2 linked regions of the Schizosaccharomyces pombe genome follow. The protein of the gene in region 1 interacts with the protein of each later gene in a pairwise test. Each region holds a gene or a part of one and is shown in the gene's direction. Other genes may lie near its edges.

What was found.
Region 2: the proteins of SPOM_SPBC530.11C (region 1) and drp1 interact in a two-hybrid assay, tested with the Schizosaccharomyces pombe proteins (one large-scale study listed by BioGRID).

What each region holds. Positions count from the first base shown.
Region 1 is NC_003423.3:813,767-820,412, reverse strand, and holds SPOM_SPBC530.11C (transcription factor), read left to right. Parts: upstream 1-1,883; 5' UTR 1,884-2,943; coding exon 2,944-2,997; exon of another isoform or gene 2,998-3,133; coding exon 3,134-3,214; exon of another isoform or gene 3,215-3,269; coding exon 3,270-5,594; 3' UTR 5,595-6,035; downstream 6,036-6,646.
Region 2 is NC_003423.3:1,419,926-1,426,183, reverse strand, and holds drp1 (RINT1 family protein), read left to right. Parts: upstream 1-2,199; 5' UTR 2,200-2,274; coding exon 2,275-4,311; 3' UTR 4,312-4,400; coding exon of another isoform or gene 4,401-4,743; 3' UTR 4,744-4,792; coding exon of another isoform or gene 4,793-4,954; 3' UTR 4,955-5,015; coding exon of another isoform or gene 5,016-5,172; 3' UTR 5,173-5,233; coding exon of another isoform or gene 5,234-5,329; 3' UTR 5,330-5,381; coding exon of another isoform or gene 5,382-5,432; 3' UTR 5,433-5,512; coding exon of another isoform or gene 5,513-5,642; 3' UTR 5,643-5,659; downstream 5,660-6,258. Other genes in the region: apl3 (AP-2 adaptor complex subunit Alp3), read left to right, coding at 1-1,514; palmitoyltransferase Pfa5, read right to left, coding at 4,401-4,743, 4,793-4,954, 5,016-5,172, 5,234-5,329, 5,382-5,432, 5,513-5,642.

The sequences.
Region 1 (6,646 bases):
AGAAAAATTTTAGTGCGTACAAGACTTGGATGAGGAGTCGCAAAAATATGAAAGCTAGATAAAGTCTACACTTTCTTTCTCACTTTCCCCACTGAACAAGATCTTTCCGTAGAACAACCTTGCCGTACAAACAAGAATGATACCTTCTAGTGTCATAGCATCCCAATCTTTGCGCCTCCATTCTTTTCTTGTTCACTACTCTCTCTTGCTTGGCACCTTTCCTCCGCTGCTTCTTTTTACATCCTTCACCGCATTGCACTATTCTATTAACGAGCTTCAGCAGTTTTCAGCGTTTCCACCTCGGTACTTGGTTACGGCATTGCATAGGAGGCGTCATGTACGGCAGTTGAGGATGCGGAATTTAAATGTTGCATGGCTCGAACTACTCATTTTAAATTCCGTACCTTGTCAACTGCCGTAACGGATTGGTTCGGATCCGTAATAAACCTTTAAAGAAGCGCACACTACATATGCTGCGTTGCGATATACAAAAATGGAAAAGAGACTTGCCATAGATCGCTTGGTAAGCTGGGGAGGAAGGAAAAAATTGCGACGCAAAATTTTCATTGATCAAAACGCCCACTAAAATCCGAAAACGAGTAGCAAGTTGGGGGGGGAAAGTAGGTAGAAGCCGCTGAAGATGATGGAGTTTTTAAAATGCGAAAGGTTGGTTTTTGCACAATGTAAACAAAGCCGATTACACATTTTGCAGGCGGAAAAGGCCAGCAAGTAGTATAGCAAAGAACAAAAGACCGACACTTGGGTGCAGTTGAAATGCGACACAGTTCAAATACCATCGTTACGAGGGCTCGATTAAATTTTTTCGTTGGCAATGGAACTGTAGGGGACAAGGATATATGGCTAGTGAAAGCTGCATACAACTGTGTACTTGAAAACTGAGTAGGGAAGAATCAAATTGTTTACAGATTAATACAAAATTGTTAAGTTGTTGAGATTTGACTCTTAACATATAAAAAGAACAGAAAACCATATTCTGCAAAGAGATTCTGTCTAGCGAATGCTTTTTTTTTTTTTTTTTTTTTTTTTTTTTGCTTTGTTTTCCCCCTCAATTTCTGCTCTGAGATCTGGTTCTTCGCTCTTCCGTTTTTTTTTCTTTTTATTTTATCAAACCTATATTCTTCCTTTGTTTATATTGTTTGTTAACATCACATTTTCGGTTCTTCTATATCTTGTTCCCTCTACAAATAAAGTACTCGGCTGTTTTGTTGAATCCCTTTCTTTTCACTAGTTCGTTTACAACCTTCCGTCTTGCTGGTCCCACTCACCGTCTAAGTTCGGCCTTGACATTCTTATTTCCGCTCCCCAGTTCTTTTATAACCAGCAGTGTTGTAACGTACCTTCTCCTTTCTACTACTGCTTTTCTTCATACATCTGTCTGGGGCTTTTTTTTTTTGAAGCAGTATAGCTGCCAGAACAAGCATTTTCTCGTCATAAAATTGTTCCATCCATCCATCCGTTCATTACCGATCATTCTCCTTTCCTTTCCATTAGCATTAAACAAAAAATCGACAAAAGGATAAAAGCATAAACGGCGAAAACAATTATTGAACTCTCAGTTCTCCAGAAAGACGAATACATCCTTCTTGTCTCTCTTCTTCACTCTTTTCCTCGCTTTCCTTCTCTCCTTTTTGTTGACTTCGTTCCATCTCGGTGATCCTCGCAAACCTCATTTCCCAAACTTGTGTACACATCGCTGGTTTGTTTAACGTGGCTCGGTCGTCAACCGACTTTTACCGAAATTGATTACCGTAGACCAAATTACCCCGGAACACATTTCCCAGGTAGTTTATTCATTAGCCGGAAGAGGGAAACATCATATCAAACTCTGTTGTGTATAGCGTGGCCGTGTAGCTTGACTTGCCGTTTTCCTATACTTTTCCCACTTGATTATAAGAGTAAACTAAGCATTTAAGAAGAGGAACTAAAGAGAATTTCTCTCTGAAAATTTCCTTCAGTTCAGTCATAAGTTGATTGATTGAAACGCGCGTGAATTTGCTCGATATTTGGAGGATTTACGGAGATTTTCTTTACCAAGGGCTTTCTCGACAAGAATCAATTTCTTCATTAACCTAATTCGGTTGAAGGATTCTTTTGTACTCCGCGATATCAATCTGCTCGAATTGGCGATTGATTTATTTTTCTTTATCCTTTGCATCCGTCCTTACCTTGAGCGCAGACTCTTTCGGAGCACCTCGTTTACGCAGTTCAAAGATACTTTTGTCAAAAAAAATTGAATTAAATTGCTTTTATTTTGGTAAACTTTTGAATTATATTGCAACTACAAAAAGTTTCCAAGAAAAAAATATTCACACCGGTAAAGTGGTAGCAGCCAAAGTTCACAAAGACTTTATCTCCAATCCCTCCCCAATTTGCTACTCTTTTTTTCGTTTCATTCGTCATTTTGTACGACTCGTTCTTGTCGCAAAGTGATTGATCTAATTTATTCATACTCTTCCACTTTCTCCTTGTTTTTGGGGTTCTTTTAGTTATCCGTTTGGATCTCTTTTGTTTTCCTATTTTCATTTCCCGATTTTCTTCCAGTCTTTCTCTTGCTACTCTCTGTTCTCTGTTGATCTATCTTCCCTTCTTTTCTTTTGATAATATAATTCTTCTAATCTTGTTATTATTATCTTCTTGTAATAATTTTTTCCCTCCTTCTATTTATTCATACTAACGTGAGCTAACTCTTGTTTTCTTTTCTTCACTCTCGTTTGTATCATCTATTCATTTCTTTTTGTTCATTATTGGATAGTCTCGGAATTCTAAGTTTGTTTTTACATCAATTCCCGAGTTTCATTAAACGACTTCAAAAGTGTTTGCATCGTCAGGTTTTGGAGTTTTCATTCTTACTTGTTTGTTTTTTTATCCTTTGCTCCTTTGTTTTTGTAATTTCTTAATTTTCTATACTTTGGTTACCGCACTATGTTAGAAAATTCCACTGCTGTCCACGGCGTTAGATTATCAGATAGTCCAGAGGTAAGTCAATACCGACTCGAACTGCTAATGTCGGCATATGGGGAGAAATACAAAATCCACCGATTTACTTTTCTTTCTTTTATTGATGATTTATATGCCTTTTTTTGTTTTTATTCATACTGACCTATTTGGATAGGATCCTTTTTTGCGCAAACGCTTAGCTTCGAATACTCAGCTGAATCAAAAGAAAATTCGTTTTACTGAAAACGAAAATGATGTAAGTTTCTTTGTTACCCATTCTTTATTGGTCGATTTCTTACTAATTGCCATAGTTATCCCCTGAAAGAGCCCAGAAAGAACCTGTTTCCATACCGCACGGGAGATATACCTGGTCGACTAGCCCAGATACCGATTCCTCTCATCTTCCTTCTACTCCTCCTACTGTTGATATACCTTTTCATCATCCACACACCATTCATTCTCCTACTTTTACCCTTTCCGTCTCTCCAGACTCTCAGTCTTCATCAGCTACTCATCAAAATGATTACATTTCCTCTCCCCATGCTGATTTCAGCTTCTCACCTCCGGCTTCAAAAATACAATCTCACGAACCTCTCAACGATATGGCTGCTGTACATCCCTTACGTCCTTCCCATGTTTCTGGTCCTCTTTCTCCCCCCGAACCTAAAGCTGCATCAGTTGATCATTCGATAAATCCTGCTTACAATGCTTCTTTTAGACTTCCTGATGGTCCTCTTTGGACGGAAGGTTCTGAAAATCTGCCTAGCCTGGATATTCAGTTACAGCTTGCTCATATTTATTTTATCTACGCGCATGGCCAACCATATGTACTATTCCATCGGGATTCTTTTATGGAGGCTCTGAAGTCTCAGCGCCTTCCACCTGTGTTGGTTTTGGCTATGTGTGCAGTGGCCATTCGGTTTTGGCAGACAGATAAATATGACAAAAATGAGTTGTTTGAACAATGGTTTAACAGAGCATCGGCAATTGCAATGGCAAACTTTGATAAGTTAGACCTTGTATATGTGGCTTCTTTTGTAATGCTTTCATACGTGTGTGCTGCGACAAGTAAATACTGGATGTTTGCGGGTATGGCCATTCGAATGGTTGTTGCCCTTCATCCAAACAAGACTCCAAATTTACCATATTACGACAGACCTGATTCACCTCTCCCCTTTGAAATCCGTGTTCAACTTACCAGACGATTGTTTTGGGATTGCTTTATGTTGGATCGCTTAAATTCTTTATACTGTAATACCCAATTTTTGAATCTCGAAGACATACACGTTCCACTTCCTATGCGTGAGACTCTTTTTATGTACAAAGCCCATGCTGTCACTGAGACTTTAACTGGAAAACCCAGCAGTCCTGACAGTTTTACTAATGCAAACCCAACTACAGCCCCGATAGTTAGTCGAAATGCCCAAGATAATATGGGGATGTTAGCGTACATGATACGTATGGTATCTATTTGGGGTCGGGTAGTACGGTGTTTAAAGTCGTATAGTCAAAAACAATCTAACCCTTATCCTTTTTGGCATGCCAAAAGTACCTTTAAACAGCTTGATCAAGAATTATATGAATGGGAGAAGAATTTGCCCAATAGACTTCGGTATTCTAGACAGACTTTGCTATCTTACCATATGATGGGACAAGGTGGCCAATTTGCGTGTCTACATTTAATTTTTTTACAAATACATCTGTATGTTCATCGATATGCAGCATCCATATCGTCGGTTCCGTTTTCTCATGTCAAGTCACCCCCTACTGTATTTGAGAATCAATCGGCCGTTCTTGCTAGTCAATGTGCTAATGCTATTTGTCGAATCATCCAAGACTGTACTGAGCTTTCCATTTCATTAGCTGCTCCGTTTACAGCATCATCAGCATATTTGGCGGGAACGGTTTTATTGTATCACTATATAACTCGTGGTAGTGAAGTTCAGGCGTCCAAGGCGGCCGTACATTTACCGATAGCGAAGCGTCACTTAGCACAACTTAGCGTGTATTGGCCAGCACTTGGAATGTACGCTAAGGCTTTAGATGCTATTGCTTTCCATCAAGGCGCATTAGTTACTCCCAGTGTACCGCCTGTGATTGCTACCGTATCGAAAACAAATACTACAAATACTGGAGTTCAGCAACGCGGTAATGTAGGAGTAACAACTACCGGAAGTATTCTTACTCAATCTTCTCCAGCCCTACCCGTTCAACCAGTGCCTCTTGCCTACTCGAAACCTGCACCCACTACTAAGAGCTCTTTGACCGAATTAGCCTACAATACCAATGTATCGCTGCCTCCTCGCTCACCAGGAACTGGATCATTAGCCGCTGGAAACTTGCCAAACGAAAAAGCACCATCATTAATGACAATGGTGAATGGCGGACCAGTACCTGGAGATATCGGAGAAGCGTCGATTCCAGTTGTGCAGAATCTTCAACCCAGTACTGCGCATGTAGATCCTGAATCGGATCTTGGTCGGGTCATTAAAATATGCGATTGGTATCAATCGCCTTCTAGTGATGTACTGTTAAGTAAGCCGCTGCAGCTGAATTCAAGCGAGGAGATGGAGCAGCAGTGCATCGACTTGAGTCGTCACAACACTTTACTGAATTTATCCAGTTATGGCATTTAGATTATTAAAATGTTATTGTTTTTAGTTTTTTATTTTACTACTTTTTTTTGGGTTTTAAGAGAAATGGGAAAACCGAAGTTTTTCCCTCGTCCCTCTTCTTCATGGAGATTTTGATCATGTGCATATAATGTATATTTGAGAAGCTTGTACATGATTGATTATCTATGCAAGTACCTATTTATTTTTACCTACCTATCCACACACCCCTATTTTCCTAGTTTCCGACGAGTGTATGAAATATATTATTGCCGGTCTTTTGAAAAATACACGATGTAACAATTGGGTTTTGAGCATATTACTACTGATGGACAATGTTATTGTTTATATACGGTCCAATCTTTCTTAATTACAAAGAATCCAGAATTCATTTTAATATTTACCATTAGGATTCTTTGCTTGAAATGCATATGACAGACAACTAGTTATTGTGAAGATGTAAGATAATAATAAAATTACGAGTTTTTGCATAACCCCCATTGTTTCCAATATAATCGAAAAATGTTTAAACATGTTAATTTTTAGCTTAATCGGTTTAACACTTATAAGCTTCTTAATGACTAGTTGCGTATTGTGGAGGAGACCGACCACCAGATGGATAACGGATTTAGAAGTTTCCCATTTACCGTCGGCACTTGTTGAACAGGTGTAATGCTGTGCAATATATACACAACGTGTCAGAAAAGCTACTTCGTTAACTTTTCGTACGGTTACGGTACATTATGATGAATTAGTTTTGTGAACTATAAATTAGTTTATGTAAATAAGGTTTTTGCGAATGGATACTTTATTTACTCTTACATAGCAAATAACGAATTTGGAAAATAGCAAACTAGTTTCATCTTATTCGCTTACCATTCAACTGATGAAAGAGTAATTAAGCAGGGTTTTGCTTCTAGCAATTGCCGTTAGTAAGATAAGTTATTTGTAGCTATTAAAAATTACGGGATTTATCAAAATCATACCACAATGATAATATTATGTTTCGGAAGTAAAGAACGTATGGTGAACATCGATAAGTACAGATAACGCTTCGTTAAAAATTACATAGTGAT
Region 2 (6,258 bases), 610 kb from region 1:
GAAAAAAAAGTTTAGAACTCTTGTATATGATGTGTGACGAGGAAAATGCTAAACTCATCGTTGCCGATTTATTGCAGTATTTACCACATCTTGACTCAGTAACTCAGGAGGATCTTATTTCTAAGGTTGCCATAATTTCAGAGACCTTTGCTACCGACTATGAATGGTATGTCGATGTTACTATACAACTGCTTCGGATAGCTGGAAAATCCGCTGATGATGGCGTCTGGCATCAGCTAGTTCATGTCATTGTGAACAACGAAGAAATCCAGGAATATGCTACCAAACGGCTATTCAGCTTACTACAGTCTGAAACGATTCATGAATGCTTAGTCAAAGCTGGAGGTTATGTTCTTGGTGAATTTGGGCATTTAATTACCGATTACCCGGACAGCCAACCTGTTCATCAGTTTTCTACAATTTATCGTAAGCTGAATGTTTCTTCTCCCAGTACGAGGGTTCTGCTTTTAACCACTTTAATCAAACTGGCAAATTTGCAGCCTGAATTGAACGATAGAATTGCGAAGGTTTTTCAGGAATATTCTACTATTATAAATCCAGAAGTACAACAAAGAGCATGTGAATATCTTCAACTTTTAAAAATGCCAAGGGACTTTCTCCAATTGGTTTGTGATGAAGTTCCCCCATTTTTAGACGGAAATCGAGATGGAGTGCATCCAAAGTCACGTCCTAGCAGCAAGGTAAATTTGGTTGATACCTATCCTCAAACCATTCCCAATGTTTCCAAACCATCCACGCCCATTGATGTTCCAGAATATGACATATCAGCATGTCTTCCTGGGTTTTATCGTTTATGTTGGAAAGATAAGGGAATTTTGTACCAAGATTCTCAAATACAAATTGGTGTTCGTTCAGAATATCACAATTCAGAAGGCGCCATATATTTGTATTATGAAAATCGACAGTCAAATACGTTGAAGTCACTCTCTTCAACGTTAATTAGAACCTTTTCTACCTTCCATTTAGCAACAACTTTTCAAGATACAAATTTGCCATCAGGAGTTCAACTTCAGCAAAAATATGTTATGAGTGGAGTTAATGAGATATTCGAACCTCCGATTATTCATGTGTCTTATGTTACTGGTGTTATACGTTCGATAGACCTCCAATTACCGGTTTTGTTATCAAAATTTATGAAACCGACAATATTTGACAGCTATGATTTCTTTAACCATTGGGGTCAAATGGGAGTGGAAAGGGAAGCACAGTTAACTTTCGGACTCAACAGCAAAGATAGAAAGCTTGACGCAAAACGACTGACAAAAATAGTTAGTGGATTTCACTGGGGAATATGCCAAAATGTTGATTCTATTGCCCTTAATATTGTAGGAGCAGGAATTATTCGATTTGGTACACAGAATGTTGGATGTTTACTTCGTATTGAACCAAATTACGAACAAAATTTGATTCGTCTATCAATTCGTTCTACTAACACTTCAATAGCAAATACGTTGGCAAAAGAAATGCAAGAGATTTTAAGGAATTCGTTTTAATAGTTGTCGCTGCTACTCTCAAAAATTTTTATTGATTGTCATAGCTTTAATGCCTATGCCTCTGTCCACATTTGATGAGTTGAGTATCTCTTAGTGAAGATTTACCTTGAATTTTATTTTATATACTAACTTATACCCCTTTTATTGGAAGTACGAGAGTACAATACAATTTTAATGTATTCGAAGTGCTGTTCAATGATGTTTGTTATTTTATCTTTGTTTCTTTATATCTATTTGCTTTAGTGAACTTCTTCTAAGTGAAAATACTTATACTGTTTTTAATGGATAAAAACTCTTCCTTATTTGGCACACGCTAGGACATTAAACATCTAAATACTCTGTCTCGAAATATGCGCAGTCGATACCAACAAATCTTAATGTCCTTAATAAAAGTAATATAGACCTGAATAATTGAGACACTTTTTTGCTATTTATATCGTATAATTCACTTCTTTTCGTAAAAGCGACGAAGTGTAACCATCAGCATATCTTTGTCAAATATAACCCACTCAGAATCACAAGTTTGGAAGTATAAGCCAACAATTTATTGAATATTAATTTTTGTTTAATAAAAACTACTCACTTTATATTGCAATAGTCTTATTGTTTAAAACTTCAAACTATATGATATTAGCAACATTAGCGAGCACCGTAAATAAAGTCGTGCCAACACATTGACTATTCCAAAACTGTTCAGAGAAGTAAACAAAGAACCAAATAGCAGCTGAAACTTCATTGAAGGGTCACCTAGGACTTTTTGATGATGTCCCAACAGTTAATTGATTTTATTGATTCAAGAACACGGCATCCTTATAAGTCAGATGAAGTAGAGAAATTTCAACAAGAAGTCAATGAGCTTCAGCTTCCGGATCCTAACTCACTTCCTATTTTAAGCGAAGAAGAAAAGAGGCAGGCTCGCGAAGATGCCGCATTTCGAAGGTCTAGTGAAGGGCTTGAAGACGCATGGTTAGATTCAGCAATACCTGCCGACCCGACGCCTATTTTCCGAGACACAGTTGAGTTATTATGCGTATATCAATCCTTTGTCAAAAAATCGGCTTCTCTCGATACTGTTGCAAATTTCTTAGACTTTTCTACCGATTTTTCGACATTGTCAACGAAGAAAGATGAGACAGAAATTGCACCTGATTGTTTACATTACATAGCCGAATTACTTTTTCAGAAAAAGGAAAGAGAAGTGAAAGAAAAATGGAAGAACGAGCTCACCGAAAAACTTAAGACATTATTTAATTGGCCTGCTATTAACCCTAACTTGAAGGAATCATCAAAATTTGAAAGTTTTTTTGGTTTTGTCCGATCCATTCAATCGTTTAAAGATTCTGAAACAGGTCTTCCATTATTTATGCAGGTGTACATTACCCCCTATGTAAACCAGTTTCGTTACCACTTTATGTCTCAGAAGCAAACAAATGTATTGTCAAAACCAGAATGGTTTTTTGAGTTCTTACTAAAAGTTTTTCGCTCTAATCGTAGTTTCTACATGCTTATGCGTGATATAAAATTTTTTCCCGGCGTCCCTCCATTTTTTACATTTATCAATTTGCTAAACAACGTTGCAAAGGAAAAATTAACGCATATAATAAAGTATGATGATTATTTAGTTCATTTAGTTCACGAAACCCTACAATACTCTGTGCGGTTGGAGCAACATTTTCATTATACCCAAGACCCTTTAATTATTTTTCTTTTTGAGCAAAACGGAACTTATGATAAATGGTTGGGTTTAGAGACTCAATTGAGCCTCACAAAGTTGGAAGATATAAAAATTGCATCAGATGCTTGGGAGCTGGAAAGCGATCAGTCTGATGATTTCAGCTCAGCGGTCCCCACGAAAATGACTGTACGATTTCGAGACATGATTGAGACGACGTTTTCCGTGCTTCAAAATTTACCATCTCTTGATTATCAATTTAATTTTTGGCGATCTGTTCAGTTAAAGCCTATGATGCAGTATGTTAATTGGTTGGAAGCCTTTTATGAATCTCATGAAAGTTCATCATCTATTCATTTACCTGGTAGTCTGCAGACAGACAAATCCAAGTTTGATATTGCTGAAGTTGAACGGATGTGTAAACTTTACAGTAACTTCAAGTTACTCATGGATTGGCTTGATGATATTGAAGATGAGGATGTCTACATTCGTATAGGACATAAAATGGGATCAGAAAACTATGCGGCTTTTTATCAAGTCAAACCTAGATTATCTACTTTAACAAATGGATCTTTTCGCATGATTTTACGTGCAGTTTCGCAAACGTTAAGGCCGTTACTTGACAACTATTCTGACCTTGATACATGGGTAATTAAGGAACAACTTCCTGGTGCTGCTCTATTATCAACATCGGTTTCTGCAGAAATTGTAGGATTTCAGTCCAGGCTAAAAGAAATCATTGCACTGCTCCAAAAGCTTTTGATTGGCTCTTCTCAATGCGAAGCTATATATCAGATTGGAACGTTAGTTGAAAGTTGGATGATAAAAATTGTTATGACCCACCAGTTCAGTGTGAGAGGAGGTGTACAATTTGCAATGGATGCAATGCAGATTGTACTAGAATTTTCAGACTATCCTTTGCTGAAATTCGAGCGATTAATGTCAACTGTTGAGCTACTATCTCTGGAATCGGGAGAAAATAAGCTTATTAAAAAACTAATTATCGAGATTAATCAAAAAAATTATGACTTCATAGATGAATTTTTTAAAACAAAGGAAATTACGCTTTCCTACGAGGACGCACTTGGCGTTTTATATCGGCGAGTTGATGCATGGAAGGATTAATTATTTAAATATTATCTGACTCGAATGTTTCTTTTTTTTTAGAGAATCTAGAAAACAAAGATAGTAACGACATTAATAGATCATAAAAATTAAGAATTCATTGATAAAGCTTTTGATTGCATTTTGCTGACAAAACTTGGACTATACAAAAAATGCTCACCGTCACCTGGTGATCTACGAAGCGGCAAAATCCAATTATACCAATGATCTCCCATTACTGCTCTCCAATTCTCAGAATAGCCTCGATCCCATGGTAAATCACCTGGATCACTTTGAACTAAAACCCTAGAGTCCATGTGCTCGGGGAAAAAGACACTGAAGGAGTAGATCCGTGTCTTCCAGTTTTTAGCCTCATGGCTGTTTATATTTAATAAAAGATATCCCGTGTGTCTTACCAACATTACACCCAAAAATAAAACTCCAAAGGCGGAACTATTGATATAATATTGTTAGCTGTTATGGTGAATAGGGTAAAACTTACAACACAAGAACGAAAATCCAAGTCCCTGGAAGACTACGATAATGATATGTTCTCGATATCATGATTGCCGTACTAATCAAAACCATACAGGCGGCAGAAAATCCATAAAATAGAAATTGGTAAAAGAATTTTTGGTTGGAAAAACAAACATCTTTGCCAACGCTGATCAAAATTAGTGCTTTATTCAAAGATATGCAGATCAGAGGATTTTCGGTTTACGTACAAAGAACAATAATGATCAAATTTTCTAATACATCTCATGCTGACTCTACTGTGATGGGATCGATCGGGCAGCCAACATTTGCAAGTTCCACACATTCGGGGGGCACCATTAGGTCCACATAAAAAAATTGGATTATCGAACCCATAATAGGTGTATACTAGAATAAACTGATGTTAGCCAAACACAATAAAAACAAACTCAATTATTGAATAGCATACAAGTATTACCGCAAAATGAAGGACTTGAAAACAAAACCCTGAAGTATGAAAAATACGCCAACCCGGAAGTTATGAAAAAAAAAATAATAAGTACAACTTTAAAGGTTAGTCGTGTCCATGTTTTAATTTAACTGTGGTAATAGCTTACTTCCTCCTCCTAGGTTTCGGTAGCCATTGCGAATCTTGATATTGGAATCAACTGTATAGAATATAATTAGCATATGACTATATAATGGAAATTCTTTCTTAGCGGTTAGAATTGGCCCTTCATTCACGTACCGCATATTAGGGCTATAAATACCCAAACTGTGTAGCCAGTTGAAAGCAGAATTGCAGCTGGGAAAACAACACCCAAAGTCTTTTGAAGCTTAGAAAATCTCCTCTGTTTCTCTTCTAAATTTGTAGACATGAACTCCAACAAAGCGTTTAGTATATTTGAATAAGAAAGTTTCGAATCTTTAATTTTAAGAAAAACGTAGCGACTGTTGAGGGTTAAAATACAAGTGGTATAAAGATAATTTCAAAAAAATAAATAAATAAGTATACAAAAATAATTTTAGTGGCAGATATCGATTTTGAAATTTTCGAGTGCTATTACGTCTATTACAGAACTATCAAGCTGAAGAGTACACGAAAGGGGCGTAAAAATGTAAAAAGTTTTTGGTACGAAGAACACAGTTTTTTAGAAATAACATATAACTAAAGGTCAAAATGATATAAAATAATAATTGCTTCACGCAAGCCAACGAACATAATTGTGTATTTTGACAAGTAGTAGAAGTGGTTGAGTTGTAGCAACTAAAGCAACTATTAACGCTATACCTAGAGCAGCAAAAGTTTAATAGTTGCAAAGTAATGGAATCTCAGAGAGTAATATTATTAAATGAAACTTTTTTAGCGCATCGTAAAATGAAGCTCATGCTTTTGTACTTAGATCACAGACATATGCTGCGGACGCGGTGATATTATAAGTATAAATTTTAAGTAGAACATGTGTAAATAAGAGGATCTGACTAACAATCGTA